2 linked regions of the Drosophila melanogaster genome follow. The protein of the gene in region 2 interacts with the protein of the main gene of each other region in a biochemical or structural test. Each region holds a gene or a part of one and is shown on either strand. Other genes may lie near its edges.

The links. Proteins that work in one complex are often made in the same cells at the same time.
Region 1: the proteins of ebi (region 2) and ttk form a complex in vitro, tested with the Drosophila melanogaster proteins (one study listed by BioGRID).

What each region holds. Positions count from the first base shown.
Region 1 is NT_033777.3:31,712,138-31,718,255, reverse strand, and holds the start of ttk (tramtrack), read right to left. Parts: upstream 4,390-6,118; 5' UTR 3,987-4,389; intron 1-3,986. UniProt on the Drosophila melanogaster protein: Binds to a number of sites in the transcriptional regulatory region of ftz. Isoform beta is required to repress inappropriate segmentation gene transcription and repress genes incompatible with development of photoreceptor cell fates.
Region 2 is NT_033779.5:411,796-420,418, forward strand, and holds ebi (ebi), read left to right. Parts: upstream 1-3,271; 5' UTR 3,272-3,593; coding exon 3,594-3,651; intron 3,652-3,716; coding exon 3,717-4,915; intron 4,916-4,993; coding exon 4,994-5,839; 3' UTR 5,840-6,741; downstream 6,742-8,623. Other genes in the region: AP-2alpha (adaptor protein complex 2, alpha subunit), read right to left, coding at 1-442, 652-863, 930-1,029; CG13690 (uncharacterized protein), read right to left, coding at 6,762-7,805; RpLP1 (ribosomal protein LP1), read left to right, coding at 8,280-8,351, 8,497-8,623.

The DNA of each region.
Region 1 (6,118 bases), on a different chromosome or scaffold from region 2:
ACGCAGTCTGCTGCTTTCTCTTCGTGCGTTTCGTGGGCCTCTGCCGCGGTCGGCGTCGCCATATATTTCACTTTTTAATTTCTTAAATTTTTTTGATAGCGTTCTCCTTGCTCTCCTGCCGTGTGTGCGTCCGTTTTGTGGTATGGTATGTGTGCGAATGCCATCCCCATAGTCTCCACTTCCACTTCCTCCTGCGCCTCCTACCTCCTCCCACCACCCACCACCCATCGTCCCCCACACCGCTGCGCACTCAATTAAGCTTATCGCCCACTGTCCGCCCGTGTGCGTGAGTATCTGTGTGTGCTTTTTATTTGTGTGTGCCTTGTATCTGCGACGTTTTGTGGGGATATCTGCGTGCTGCTTGCTTTTTAGAGGTGACTTTCCTCGTCTGCGCTCCTTGAAGGCTACGAGGAAAACATCTCTGCTGGCTTCTCGTTTTCTGTCTTCCCCGTTCGCCTGTTCCTCTCCTCCTCCGCCTACCACCCACACCACACCACCCCACCTCACCCCCATTCACTCGCCCTGGGAAGCACGCTGCTGGTGTCGTGTGCAAATGGCCCCAACAGCGGCGGCCGCAATCGAAAAATCCTCTTTGAGAGGATTAAAATATACACAGCTTTTTTCTTATTGTCATGTGCTCTTTGCTTCCCTGCGAGCGGTACAGTGGGGCATATGCGATGATTTTGGGTAAAAAGGATTTTTGAGGATTTGGCATAATAGTTATGATAAATCTCAGTACTTCTTGGACGCTTATATGTCATATTATCGTTTTGAGCTCAACATGGAATTTCAACGGAATTTCTGTAAGGACTGTCAGGAATGTATATTTGTTTTGAGCTACAACCTTCAAGATTGATTGTAAGTCCAATTATGAAAACAAAAAGGGCAATGTGGAATTTGAACACAGCTCCACTGTGCCCGCCTTGTATCCCCAACCTCCGGTTGTCCCACACACGGACAAACGGAACGGACACCGTCCCCTGGCAAAGCTTAAGGGTAGCAGAGGCGTTGGCAGCGCTGCTTTCAATTACATTTCATTTGCATTTCGTAGTGTGCTGTCTACCTCTGTGTGTTTATTTCTTTTCGCTGATGTTGCCTTTTCCCGCACAAACACAGCGGCGTACTATAAGTTCGCAGCCTTAAGTCAAATGCCTGGCCATCCGCTCTCCTTTTTGAAATTCGCTTTTGTGGCTGCCATTCGTTGAAGAATGCAAAATAGGAAACGGCTGGCAGATGAACACATCCACCGCCGATTGTGTGGGTGAGTGATTTTTGAGTTCTTCAGTTTTTCAGGCACCACAGGGCGTATACTTGACGCGGACATTGAGCTGCGCCGGCAGCGGCGTCGACGTCGTTAATTGAATTATAGTGCATGCGTATGTATGCTTGTAAGGCCTGCAAAAGGCTTAAAACGGTAAAAAAAATATTTAATTTCAGCCAGCAGGCGGAAATTGTGAAATAAGCCTAACTACGTGTTTGGGGTCCGGAAATTACTAGAAATCCTTAAGAAATAACATTAGGTTTTATTTGGTAATTGTTCTTTAAATTTATTATGAATCTTTGATATCCATGTAAGTAAAAATTTATGATCTTTGGGCAACTGTAACTATATCTGGAGGGTTACCACTGCTGCCTTCTGGTTTCCGTCTTTTGCTTAGCTTTTTTCGGCCCATTCTCTTTTCGCGAAGATTTCTGCCTGAGTTACAAAACATATTTTGGTCACTGACCTTTTCTGTTTCTTGTATTTTTCGTTGATTCCTCATTTTTTTGCTGACTTTTGAGCGTTTTTTGTTTGTGTTCCACTTTTGAATTTAGGTTTTTGCAGTAGTCGGAGTTTTTGTGCAGATTGCTAATTAAAAAAGGAGATATATGGGGTACACGCGCGACTTGTATGCTATCAGGATGGGCAATCGGGGCAGCAGAACCCCGAAAGCGAAATACCTGGCGTTCTCCGCGAAGGTGATTCAAATCAGAAATGCATTCAAGAAAAATTTCATTTACTTGTAATGCCACAAGCCCCAGAATATGAAAAGGAGTATCGTGTGGATGAAAAGGTATACCACATGAATATACACGGGGAAACCGCGCACAACAGACATTTATTTAGCATGGCAGCTGGCACTTGCGAATGAAATAAATAAATATAAAATCATTTTAAATAACAATAATCAAGGAATGTATTGTGCAAATTTGGTTCCGAATAATTGTTGAATACGAAAAAGGGGCAGGAAATCGGCGCAAGATGGCAGATACATTTAAGTAGAATTTGTGAAAGAGTCACGTGCACTAAACCAATGCACCGGAAAAATTTCCTGTATTATTTCAATCATTATTTGTTAAAAATGTTTTAACATTTCTTGCCCTGTGTACTTAAGGGAGAGTGAGAGAAGAATAGATAAGAGAGTTCTGCCTTTTCCTATCCCCCGCTGATATTGCGTATACGCCGCTTGGACTTTTACTGTTTCGACTTTTTATGGGTTTCTACGAGCGAAAACAACAATGCATATGTTCAGATCGCGTTTGCGTTGTTAGTCATGTCATCCTCTTTCTCTTTTCCCTCTTTCATTGCTGCTTTAACCGTTTCGATCGCCGGCTAAACAACAGTTATAATTCGAGCATAATGTTAAGTGAGCGCAAGGTGTTCACAAGTGTCTTTGTGTGTGTGGGGCAAACAAACAGAAAAGCTTTCGCGGAGAGCGGGAAATATATAGTAAAGAGCGCATAGTGCTGCTCTTGTCGTTTCATTAACAAAACAACCGCAAAATTTATGTGTGATCTGAGACTGGGCATTCGTTTCCTTTTCGCCCCAATACAAAGTATAATTCACGATTTTTGTTGTTGCTGCCACTGTGTGAAGTGGGTTAGCGAATTAAAAACAACGACAGAAGTAACAAATAAACATAACATACAAAGACAAATGCAGATCGGAGACGAAGATTGTGTTTTTTGGGCTGTGATCTTGATTTGCATAATTGAATTTGTGGCTTAGCGTGGAGCACAGGTGCAAGTGTAGAGTTGCCCCTTGGCCAGGGTTGTCAGGTTTCCTTCCTCCCAAGAATAGTAACCAACGTATAGAGTTGTAGCTCACTTTAGTTATTGCGATTAAATAAACGTAAAGCCGAGTTACACAATCAATACATTGAGTCCAAATAATTTGTGCAGTGCAAACATGTTGCGTACATGGATTACTCATTCACACATTCACTCCATTGGTTCATTCAGAAAAACACCGCAAGTGTTGCAGCCACTGGAAGCCACCAGAAGGCACTGGAACTGGAAGAGTGATCAAAAGGGGTGCGCCGGGCGAATGACGACTGGATGTGGAAGTGGGGGATAAAAAAGGAAATGGGCAACTGCAAATGACAGAGATCACTGAAGCACGACCGACAAATAAGCGGCGGACGAATCTATGTATCTAGTATCTGGTATCTAGTGTGGCGGCATTACTCCCCATGTGCCGTATACGGCATGTGTGCATTTGTATCTGTGGCTGTACCACTATCTGTATAAGTTGGATACAAAAGCGTCTTTCCAATAGGCGTGTGTTGGTGCATGTACTGAGCGTGTGAGCGGGAAATTGTTAGAAGAAAATGTATCTGCTAGGCTTTTAAGACTGCTAGATTTCCAAAACGACCCTTGGCCAATTTGTCAGGCTTTTATTGCTATAATTCTGTAATCCAAAAGCTATTAACTGCTGATTTTGTCATCAATTGTTTTCGACTCCTGCGATGTCCTGTTTAAAGTGATTAGATTCTAATCCAAAAATATAATTCAGTGAACATTCAAATCTTTAAAAAAATCACTACGGACTCCAGAAACAAAAGCCAGTTAAAGAACTTTTGAATCTTAATCAATAAAATCCTCATCTGAGATTCAAGATAAGTCTTAAGAAGGTAATAAGAATACTTAAACTTGTCGTTTAAATTTGAACACTTGATGATTTGACCTTTTTCGAAGACTATTTCGTGGATAATCTCACCACTTACCAATTTTACAAATATTCTTGGTAATCCGTTTTGCGGTTTCTTCGGCGGAAGAAGGCTTGCAACACTCGAAAGTACTTGTTGTTGTTTCTGTTTCTTCTCTTGTTGTTGGTTACACGTAATTGGCAACCGAGGCGAACACGGAGCCGAAAGCGGGTTGCGAAAAGGCAAAAGGCAAAGAAATCAGCTGAGGAAACGCCGCGCACGAACCTCCAATCAGAACTGAAACGGCAGGGATGTCGACGTCGACGCAGAAGCCATTTTACCGCATTTGTTGTCCCTGAGCTGAGCCCCAAAACCGAGAGAGAGAGAGAGGCAGAACGAGCACCACAGAGAGCCGCTAAGGTGGATACACAAAGCCGAGCCGAAGCCTTACCGAAAGCTTTGATCACACGGCACGAACTGAGCTGGGAATAGCATGGAATATGGGAGTATGGGAATTGGTAGTGGTAGTGGGCGGTATTTGTAGTGCTCCCGTTTCACATTGCTCTCCCGCTCGCAGGGCACCAAAAACGCAAGTGGATGTGGACGGATGAGCGGACGAAATGGAATGGCAAGAATCGAACATTTGAATGGGGCTCCAAATGGTTAAGAGAACAGCGCAGCCGCTGCTGGCAGCGAGAGCGAGGGAGAGCGCAGTCCCAACTTGACATTTCCATTTCGCCGCTGCGTTGGCGCTCTGCCCTTATGCTCTTTCTTCTCGCGCTCTCCCGCTGATAAGCTGGTGTTGAAAACAAGTCTCCTGCGCTCTCGCTCTCTCTCACCGCCGTGACCTGCTGCTCCACCTCTGCGCCCACCACCCCTTCGCTTCTCTGCTGCATCAGCGTATTACGAAATATGACAACAATGCAGTTTGGTCGTCCTCGTTTTCATTCTGCCGACACAGCGGCTGCTTCTTCTTCAGTCCCATCTTCACCTCTCTGCTTGTGCCTGCTCAGCATAAATGCCATCTCTCCGCTCTCTTTGGGAACACCGGAGTATGGAAGAGTGTGAGAGAGGGGGGGGGGGAGAGAGAGGAGAAAGAGAGAGTGGGTGGCTGGTGCTTGTTTGTTATTTTCTCCGCGCTGCACTTGCAAATTGATTGTATTTTAATGAAGTTCTGGTGCCCGCTAAAAATAGTCAACTCTCTATTCAAAGGGGAGGATCGTCGCCGAGGGGCGTGGTGCGGGAATTTCTATCTGGGCGCATTCCAAGTGCAGCAATATATCGGCAGTAACTAATTCCAAATGCCAGCTATTACGACAAACTGGTTTGATCGGAAAAGCGTGCCTCGTATGCTCGACTCTCTTATTCGCTCAACCTCCCACCGACTGCCCCGCCCCCCAGCGCCCCTTTCGAGAACGCTCGCGCACACTTCTAACTGAAACCGAAATGATTCCATGTTTTCCCCGCTGCACCGACTTTAAGTTGAATAATTGTTGCTGGGGTTGCCCTGCACTGAGAGAATTGTTTGCAACGTAATTGTTTCTTTACGTTTTAGAAAATATCGCTACCTTAGATAATATAAACTTTATACACTAGTTTTGCTGTGCACGATGGCACACGTAACCCACTGGTCAACTGCCTGATGGGTCTTGGGAGCGTGTCGCTTTTTGGGTAACCCCCGGGACGGGGCGTTACCTGATCCGATCCCAAGGGGGGCTGGTCGTTATTAGGGCCCATTTGAAGGATCATTAGGCATGCATGGGAAAGACCGTCAATCAATGCGTGTTCTTGGGAAACGGCAACAGTTCCCCGCATCTAAGATTATATATCTGGCATAGATATGGGAGTTCTTTGACTTTGGCACCGCTGATAGTGGAAAAGGATTGAGGGACCAGACTTGGGCGACAGATAAGACATGTCTAGGAAGGCCGTTATCTCTCTCTTTATACGCTGATAATGGAAGCCTTAATCGCTTTCTTTAAGTACAATCGGTTAGTTAGGTTTGGTTTTAAACATATCTACATATGTGGACCCTCTGTTATGAAAGCGTGTAGTATGGGGATAGCTTTGAGCAAGTTATACGACTGGTGAAAAATTGGCTTGCATAACCCGCCATACCCTCCATTGATCTTTCCTTGCACACCATTTTATTGTTTCGCAAGCTTACATTAGCTTGGAAACTAATTTCGATGGAGCCCACAGACAATTAC
Region 2 (8,623 bases):
AGCTGGCTGTTACGATCCGGGATAAGCGTGAAACAGCCAAATTAACACAACCCTTGTACTCGTCCGGATTGCGCTTCACCAAGGCGTCGATCAGCGAGGTGGCCGCTGTGACCACTCCCATGTGCTGATCATTGAGCAAATGGATAATGCGCGAAGTCCACTCACCACCGGGAATGATGTCCGGCGAGGAGCGGAACAGGCGGAGCAGGCATAGCGCCGCCGACTGCTTCACCACGTCCATGGTGTCGCCCGAGACGAGTAGCTTGGGTATTTCGTTGGAAAAGGACTCGGCCATATCCCGACTTCCAATGTTGGCAATGCATTGTAGTGCCAGATTAACGTGCACAGGATTACGCGACTGCAAATCATTCTTTATAGATTGGATGATCAGCCGAATAAGGTCGCTGTTGGTGTTCACCAACACTGAGATGAAAAGGTAACCCTAAAGTTCAAAAAACAGATTTTATCAGTAACATTAAATTTAAAAAACCAATTTTTTAATTATTTTTATCAAACTTCAAACAACGACAAGTTAAATTTAATTGAATGAAATTCCCTTTTCCCACAAGCAGAGTCGTCTGCTTTCAGTTCAATTATTTCGACTCGCTAAATAAACAAATGATTATTGAAGCAATTTTTTGGGGTACTCACAATCTGCTTTTCTGAGTATTTGTTGGAGGACAGCAAATTGACCGCCTCCATGTGCCCGAAGTCGATGTCATGGCCGAGGAGAAATATGAATAACAGCTTACAGACATATTTCTTTTTCTGATAGCCGTCGAGGGTTTTGTCTCCTTTAAATTTGCTTCGTATATTGGCCAACTCCTTGTTTATGCGTTTGACTTCGGCCTCTTTGCTTTTGCCTGTGGGCAAATGGGTGAATATTAGTATAGAAATTTGTGTCTTATGCGGGTATAAGGGAGATTCACAGTAAAACAACAGTGATTCGTCTGCGGAAGCTTCGCTTTCCTTTCCACCCCGCGATTGATCGATCGGAGAGACGACTTCACACCCTTCAGCTCTCTCCATGTCGCGGATTTTCTCCGATTCACATAGGCGTCAATTAGTACCAGTCACCGATCCGCAGCGGAACCTCTGCTCTCCTATATGTTGTCCACAAACCAGAAACTAGTAACCGAGCATACAGCAAACAACGAGCTGTGATAATAATACCATACAGTGAAGCGTCGGACTCTTGCGCACACACATATGCACGCTTCGAAGTACTACAGTAAGTCATCAAACTATCAAAATTGTAAGTATTTATTAATACTGAGAGGCAACCGATTCACATTGATATAACTATTTGCTGTGTTGTACCCATATATATAACTATATATATAACTTTCTCATATCTTTCTAATGTAACGACTACGAAAACATTTACATAGGAATGGAGAAGAAAAGTAGCCAATATTTTGTAATTCATCTGGCAGAGAGCTTACTGTTCCTGCGTTTTTGTACCGCCCCACGTTTTTGTCAGTGCGCTGCTCCTGGTAATTGATCAAGTAATGGCGCTGATTCCGCCCCTATGGAAAATCTCTTGTTGCGACCCGCTCAATTGGATTTAATGCTGGTTACCCAAGAGATCTGCACTTACAGTTCCTTATATCCGATATAAAGACGGCCAGGCCTCTCATGCCATCCCCCCGCACCGGCGCCATGGTAGTTAGCTTGTTAATTTTCGCTGGTTTTATGCAAACTGGGGGCGCAAGAAAATCGTCAATGGATGGCGGCCGAGTCTCGAGGCGTTCTTATCGCTCGAACTCGACGTCGGACCCTAAGATATATAGTTGCTCTCCGCTCTGGTTCTGCAAAGCTCTTTTTACTTCGATTGGATCTCGGCCGTTCCTTGGGACCTGAAAGGGGAAACGATACTCTATTTATTGTGGGTTGTGGGAATGGGAAAACTTAGTATTATGATTACGTTTTAGTATTTGTGTTAACAAACGTATATTATTCAAACAAAAGGTATTTTGGATAACAATTTGTATTTAGCCAGGGAGTAGCTTATTGTGCATGCCAACACATTGATACAGCTTCTATTTTGAAAGTCCGTATTGCAGTTTTACTTTTGATAACGAAAACGCCACAAAATATGTATGCACCACACATTTCACTGAGCATCAAGCGCTGATAACGATTTATATGTATAAAAAATCCAATGTTTAATAAACTCAGAACTTTTAAACGGTAAATAGTGGACTACGTGATTGATTTTCCGGCCAGTGCACCCAATGGCTGGCGAACTTTGACATTTTCTGGTGGAAGTAGAGTGTACCCCCGCATTTTTGGCAACCGATTTATTTTCAACTTGGCAGCGTTTTGCCCGTTGATAAAGATTCTGTGACCTCGCTCGCCCACTTTTTATCGCCTGGCGAAGTCGATGTGCACTTGGGCATTATTATTTGGATTTGCGCGACCACCGGCTTTTGTTTCTGTAGTATACTTTTTACTTTGCTTTCCGTTTCGTTTTATTTTCTGTTTTTCACTGCGCTCTTCGGTTCTCTTCTTTCTTTGCTTTCATGTCACGTCACTTTTTTCACCGCTGGATGACGAGGGCGTTTTGCCCAAAAAAAAAAGCACCGAAGAAGCCTCCAAAAACATTAATGGGCGTATGTTAGCTGTTCTTTTTTTTTGAGCTTACTTTTCCGATTTTTTTTACTCGCCAGCGGACAAAATCGGTTAGCGTTGCGGAATTTCTGTGGCGGAGCAGAGAGAGTAATCTCTGACTTCTGAAGTTGGCTTCGCTTGGAATCGGAATCCGGGGTGTTGGCTGCGGAATGTTTGACCCTGCGTGTTGCACTTTATGGAACTCCAACTCGCTGGAGCTTCGCCTCGCTGATTTGCCGCTAATTTGTTTGTTAACTATTACCAAGTGCAGGGCAATTCACTAAAATGAAAATTTCTATTGATTTTTCTTCGCTCTCGCTGCCTAAGAGTGGAGCCATCTAGCGGGCGCGGGTGGAACGATTGGTGTGACCAGTAGAGCGTTGGGTTGAAATACAATGATTACTTCGAGGGATGGGTACACAGGGATGGACGAAGAGAGACGACAATTCGCTTTAAGAATTTTTTACCTTTTGCTCCAAGCAGAAATCCAAAAATATCTTCTTAATTGTTTTTATGGCTAATAAATTTCCGTTCTATCCTTTAAGGTAACGCTTGGTGCAATACAAAAATATGACTCAAATTTGATTAAGTTGTTGTCAAAACTTGTGACGTCACAAAACACAAGGCTGCGCAACCTCTCGCAGCGCACACCTTGAGATTACTCCGCCATTTTTTTGCGCGTTTCAGAAACGCGTTTTCGATCCCTCGGTTTTATTTGTGGAAAAAATATGTGAAGTGCTCTTGCGGCAAGCAGCAAACTGGCAGAATTGAAAACACAGGACCGACCAGATCGATCCAAGTACCAGGAGTAGCACCGGATACCGTGGCTTGCGCCGAAGTGATAAGCGTGCCGAATGCAGACGCATGTGTTACGCAGCACAGTTCCGATTTTCGCACCGTAAAAACATAATTGGCATTGGAGATAGGAGTGGATTTTGGAGTGCGCTAGTAGTAGGAGAAGGAGCCAACCGCGTTCCGTCATGAGTTTTTCCAGCGACGAGGTGAACTTTCTGGTTTACCGATACCTGCAGGAGTCGGGTGAGTAAAACCCTCCAATCGCAAGATAACAGCCCGCCCTAATCTCATGCAATCCCGTTTTCTAGGCTTTCTGCACTCGGCCTACGTGTTTGGCATTGAGTCACACATCTCGCAAAGTAATATCAATGGCGCATTGGTTCCACCTGCCGCTTTGCTCACCATCCTGCAGAAGGGTCTTCTGTACACTGAAGTGGAGTGGAGCGTAGGCGAAGACGGCGAGGTGGCGCGACCCATTGAAGGACTCTCTCTAATAGACGCTGTCATGCCGGAGGTGAAGCCACTCAAGCCCATTGTGAAAACAGAGCCGGGAAAACCCGGGGCAGTCGACTCTTCTGCCCCTGCCGGTGGCAACCAGAACAACAATGCCAAGCCTGAGATAAAAATAGAACCGGGTACCGGAGTGGCGGGCTCAGCAGGTGGAAACAAAATTGCTGGCAGCACCACGGGCACAAGCACACCAACCGATCAGTCGGCAAGCGAGGTAGACTCCAGTGGAAATGCGGCAAATAATGCTGGCGGCACATACGCCGGAAACAATGGAGCTGGAGGGAACCAGGCCAGTACTGGAGGATCTAATAGCACAAGCACACCAGCTGGTGGAGATTTGGCAGCACCTGGGGCAAGTCAAAAGAAATCCCAGAACTCGAATGAAGCGGGAAGCTCATCTAGTGGCAATGCAGGCAATGCAAATGCTACCAGTACCGATGATGCAGCCTCCTCAACATCCACAAATGGCAATAGCAGCACTTCCAGCAGCGTAGAACAACCTACAAGCGGGCTGACGCCCGCTGGTGGAACTGTATCAACCTCCAATCCGGACGCAGCAGCATCGGGCGGAGCTTCGACTGCAACAGGATCAAAGGCGCCAAGTGGAGCGGTTACGATTCGCGTAGGAGCCCAAGGAAACAACGTGCAGTCTGGTTCGTCCAATGCTCAAAGCTCTGCTCCCAGTGGAACCATCTCCTCGTCTACCAGCGGAGGTGCTGGGACTCCCGCAGCTCTTGTTCCCATGGACATTGACGAGAACATCGAAATACCCGAATCCAAGGCTCGTGTATTACGCGGCCACGAAAGCGAGGTGTTTATCTGCGCATGGAATCCTAGCCGGGATTTACTGGCAAGCGGTTCGGGAGACAGCACTGCTAGGATATGGGACATGTCCGATGCAAACACTAACTCCAACCAGTTGGTGCTGCGCCACTGCATCCAGAAAGGCGGCGCTGAGGTGCCTAGCAACAAGGACGTCACCTCTCTGGACTGGAATGTAAGTCGAAGATCTTGGCACTTAAGCCTTGCAAAGTTTGATTTCTGATCCTTACTTAATCTATTCTCGTTTTTGCAGTGCGATGGTTCCTTGCTCGCCACCGGCAGCTACGATGGTTACGCCCGAATTTGGAAAACCGACGGTCGACTTGCTTCTACTTTGGGACAACACAAGGGTCCGATCTTTGCTCTGAAGTGGAACAAGTGCGGCAACTACATCCTCTCGGCTGGCGTGGACAAGACGACGATCATCTGGGACGCATCCACGGGCCAATGCACCCAGCAATTTGCCTTTCACAGTGCTCCAGCCTTGGATGTGGACTGGCAGACAAACCAGGCCTTTGCCTCTTGCAGTACGGATCAGCGGATACATGTGTGCCGGTTGGGTGTAAATGAACCCATCAAGACCTTTAAAGGACACACAAACGAGGTGAATGCAATCAAGTGGTGTCCGCAGGGCCAACTGCTGGCGTCCTGCTCTGATGACATGACCCTCAAGATCTGGAGCATGAACCGAGATCGTTGCTGCCACGATCTGCAGGCTCACTCAAAGGAGATCTATACGATAAAATGGTCGCCCACGGGGCCGGGAACCAATAATCCAAACACAAACCTGATCCTCGCATCCGCTTCGTTCGATTCCACGGTAAGACTGTGGGACGTGGAGAGGGGCAGCTGTATCCACACGCTCACCAAGCACACAGAGCCAGTCTATTCGGTGGCCTTCAGTCCGGATGGAAAGCATTTGGCCTCCGGCAGCTTCGACAAGTGCGTACACATTTGGAGCACGCAAACGGGACAGCTAGTGCACAGTTACAAGGGCACGGGCGGAATCTTTGAGGTGTGCTGGAACTCCAAGGGCACTAAGGTGGGTGCCAGTGCCTCCGACGGTAGCGTTTTCGTGTTGGACCTGCGAAAGTTCTGATTGCCGGAGCAGCCACAACTGGATTTCGTGTATTGAGCCAACGCTTAAAATAGTCAAGATTCCTTTTCCAGCTCATTATTTGGTAAAAATGAAATCGGTAGTTTTTCACTTTCTTACGGAACGAGAAGTTTTTACTTTTGATTCAAAAATTGCATTTAACTATATTTTTTAAAGAAGTGAAATATGATCAGTTACAATTCTACCAACATAAGTCGATTTGGATCTGGAGTCCGGACCTTAGGTAACTCCTTTCTTAGCTATCCCGCCCTGCAATCGTATTTGTAATTGCTTTAAATTCTAATTAGTTCTTTAAGGTATACCTCTTGAGATGAGATCCTCCCGCTTTTGTCCACGTCTATTTCGTACGCTTAGTTTCGAGTCACAAAATATCGATATGCACCTGGGATTTTTGGGGGCTTCAACATGGTTGTTGTTCTCTTCAGATCAGCGGGATGCGACTCGCCTCATTTTAATCTTAATCATAAGCTCCATGTTTCTAAGGTCGTCCCTTTTTATACGAAAATCGTTTAGTATAACTTTGCATTTTGTTATTGTATCGATCAAAGATGCCAGCCAACTCCCCGCCCTCCCCACCAAAAGTCCTTTACCCAATTCCACAGTTGTCCTCCAAAAAAGGGATGCCAAGAGATCAGATCAGACCGATTCACGCATACATTCAGAACAGTGTAACTGCAGTCCCACGTAGTCAGTAATCGAACGTAATTATTAAGAACACGAGATTGGCGGAAACACAAGAACATCAGCAAAAATACATTAAAGATAAAAATTAATCTGTTTTCGTTTTGGGCCTGGGTGTTTTTTGTATTTTAGCATTTTAAAATTTAATACTAAAGTACTTAAATTAAACTTTATTCTTTGTAAATATAGATACTCCTGAACTTAATTTTATTTTCATTTGTTGCTAAAACTCCATGACACTTTCCAGATGGCGTTGCTTAAAGAAGCGGCACTCCTCGCGAATTATTTCGCCGGATTTTGTTGTGCCCTTAAAGAACTTTGTGAGCTTGGTGCCGGCGTACTTGGGCTTCTCGGAATCCGGCTCGTCGAACTCCATGTCATAGGCCTTGTCCGCCAGTGCGTTTTCCGCGGTGGACCAACTGAAGCGCACAAGTCGTGGAAATCCAAACACTAGATCGATGTACTCGGTCAGAAATCTTCTTGTGACCGGATCTCCCGGATATCCACTGCCGAACTCGTTGTCCTTAATGACCAAGCCCTCGGGGAAGCTCCACACCTTGAGGGCATGATCACGGGTAACTTTGGCGCATATACTAGCAGCAGAGACTATTGGATAGGTGGAGTCAGCTTTTTTCGCCACGGTGATTTTAAAGCTGGGGAAACGTTTGAGCAACTTCTCCTGGTACTTCTCCGGCGGACCCACCGTATCCACATAAACCTCGGCTATATTGACGCCCGCATCGATCGCCTGTTGGATAAGGCCCATGGCCGAGTCCATGGAAACTTCGTTCAGGGAGCACTTCGACCGCCGGTACATGCTGGTGCTGATCGTGTTCGGCGATATGATCTCCACGGCCCAGCCAACGCAACTGGTCGCATATTCCTTGGTGTTGATATCGTTAAATATGATATCACGTTTCCCCTCGGTTAGTTGTTTGGAATCGGCGCATCCCAGGTCCTCTAAAGCCTTGTTACTTTCCAGTGGACAGTAGGAGATCCCATATACCATAGGTCCCAGGACGGGACCACGCCCTGCTTCGTCCACGCCCAGCATGCACGGCTTATCCTTGCAAATATCCGGAACATCGCTGAGGTAAACCGTGTTGCGGCTATTCTCCTTGCCGGCTATAAATGGACCCAGGGCCTTCAAGGAGCTTATTTTTCCGCTGTCCTTAAAATCTACATCATCGGGCTCTTCGTCGTTCTCATCAATATTTTCTATACATTTTTTTTCTTTTTTTACAACTACGTCTTCTTGGTCCGACATTTTCGCGCGCTTTTTTTTTGTTTACGTTTAAACGACGCTATGGGCACACTAATTGTATACATAAAGTTGCAGTGTGACTCATTCGTCATTATACCAAAATATCTTTTTTTTAATATTCTCAATAACCGTACGGAAAGGTCTTTTATTAAAATAGAGAGATAAACATATAACCAGAGAATTATGCTAAGGCTTCTGTCCAAGATGCTTAAAAATAAACTAGTTTAAATAAGAGATAATCTCGGCAGTTTGAACGAGTTTTCCTCTACCTAGTATTTCCTGACAATAATATGCAAATTTTCATAGACGGTTGGTATTTTTCTTCGTCATCGGCGCGGTCACACTGCATATCAACTGCTCTTTCCGGTTTAGGATTTTGACCAGCGTGCTTGTTCTCGTCCCGAGCTAAGGCCATTTGTTATAAACAATTAATTTTTGGCAACTTGCACAATCAGTGATTAGCCACAGCACTTCGACATGTCCACCAAAGCCGAGCTCGCCTGCGTCTACGCCTCCCTCATCCTCGTCGATGACGATGTCGCCGTCACCGTAAGTTTTTCGATATTGCAATCGGGGACGAAGCAAATCCTCCAAAGCCGCGGCCATCGGCCGGAAGTATTGGACAATTTGCGGGTCCTATGGTTTCTTTCGCACTGCTGCAACTTGTGCTGATCTTATTTTTTGGATTCACCAGGGTGAGAAGATCAACACCATCCTGAAGGCCGCCAACGTCGAGGTGGAGCCCTACTGGCCCGGTCTCTTCGCCAAGGCCCTGGAGGGCATCAACGTCAAGGACCTGATCACCAACATCGGATCCGGAG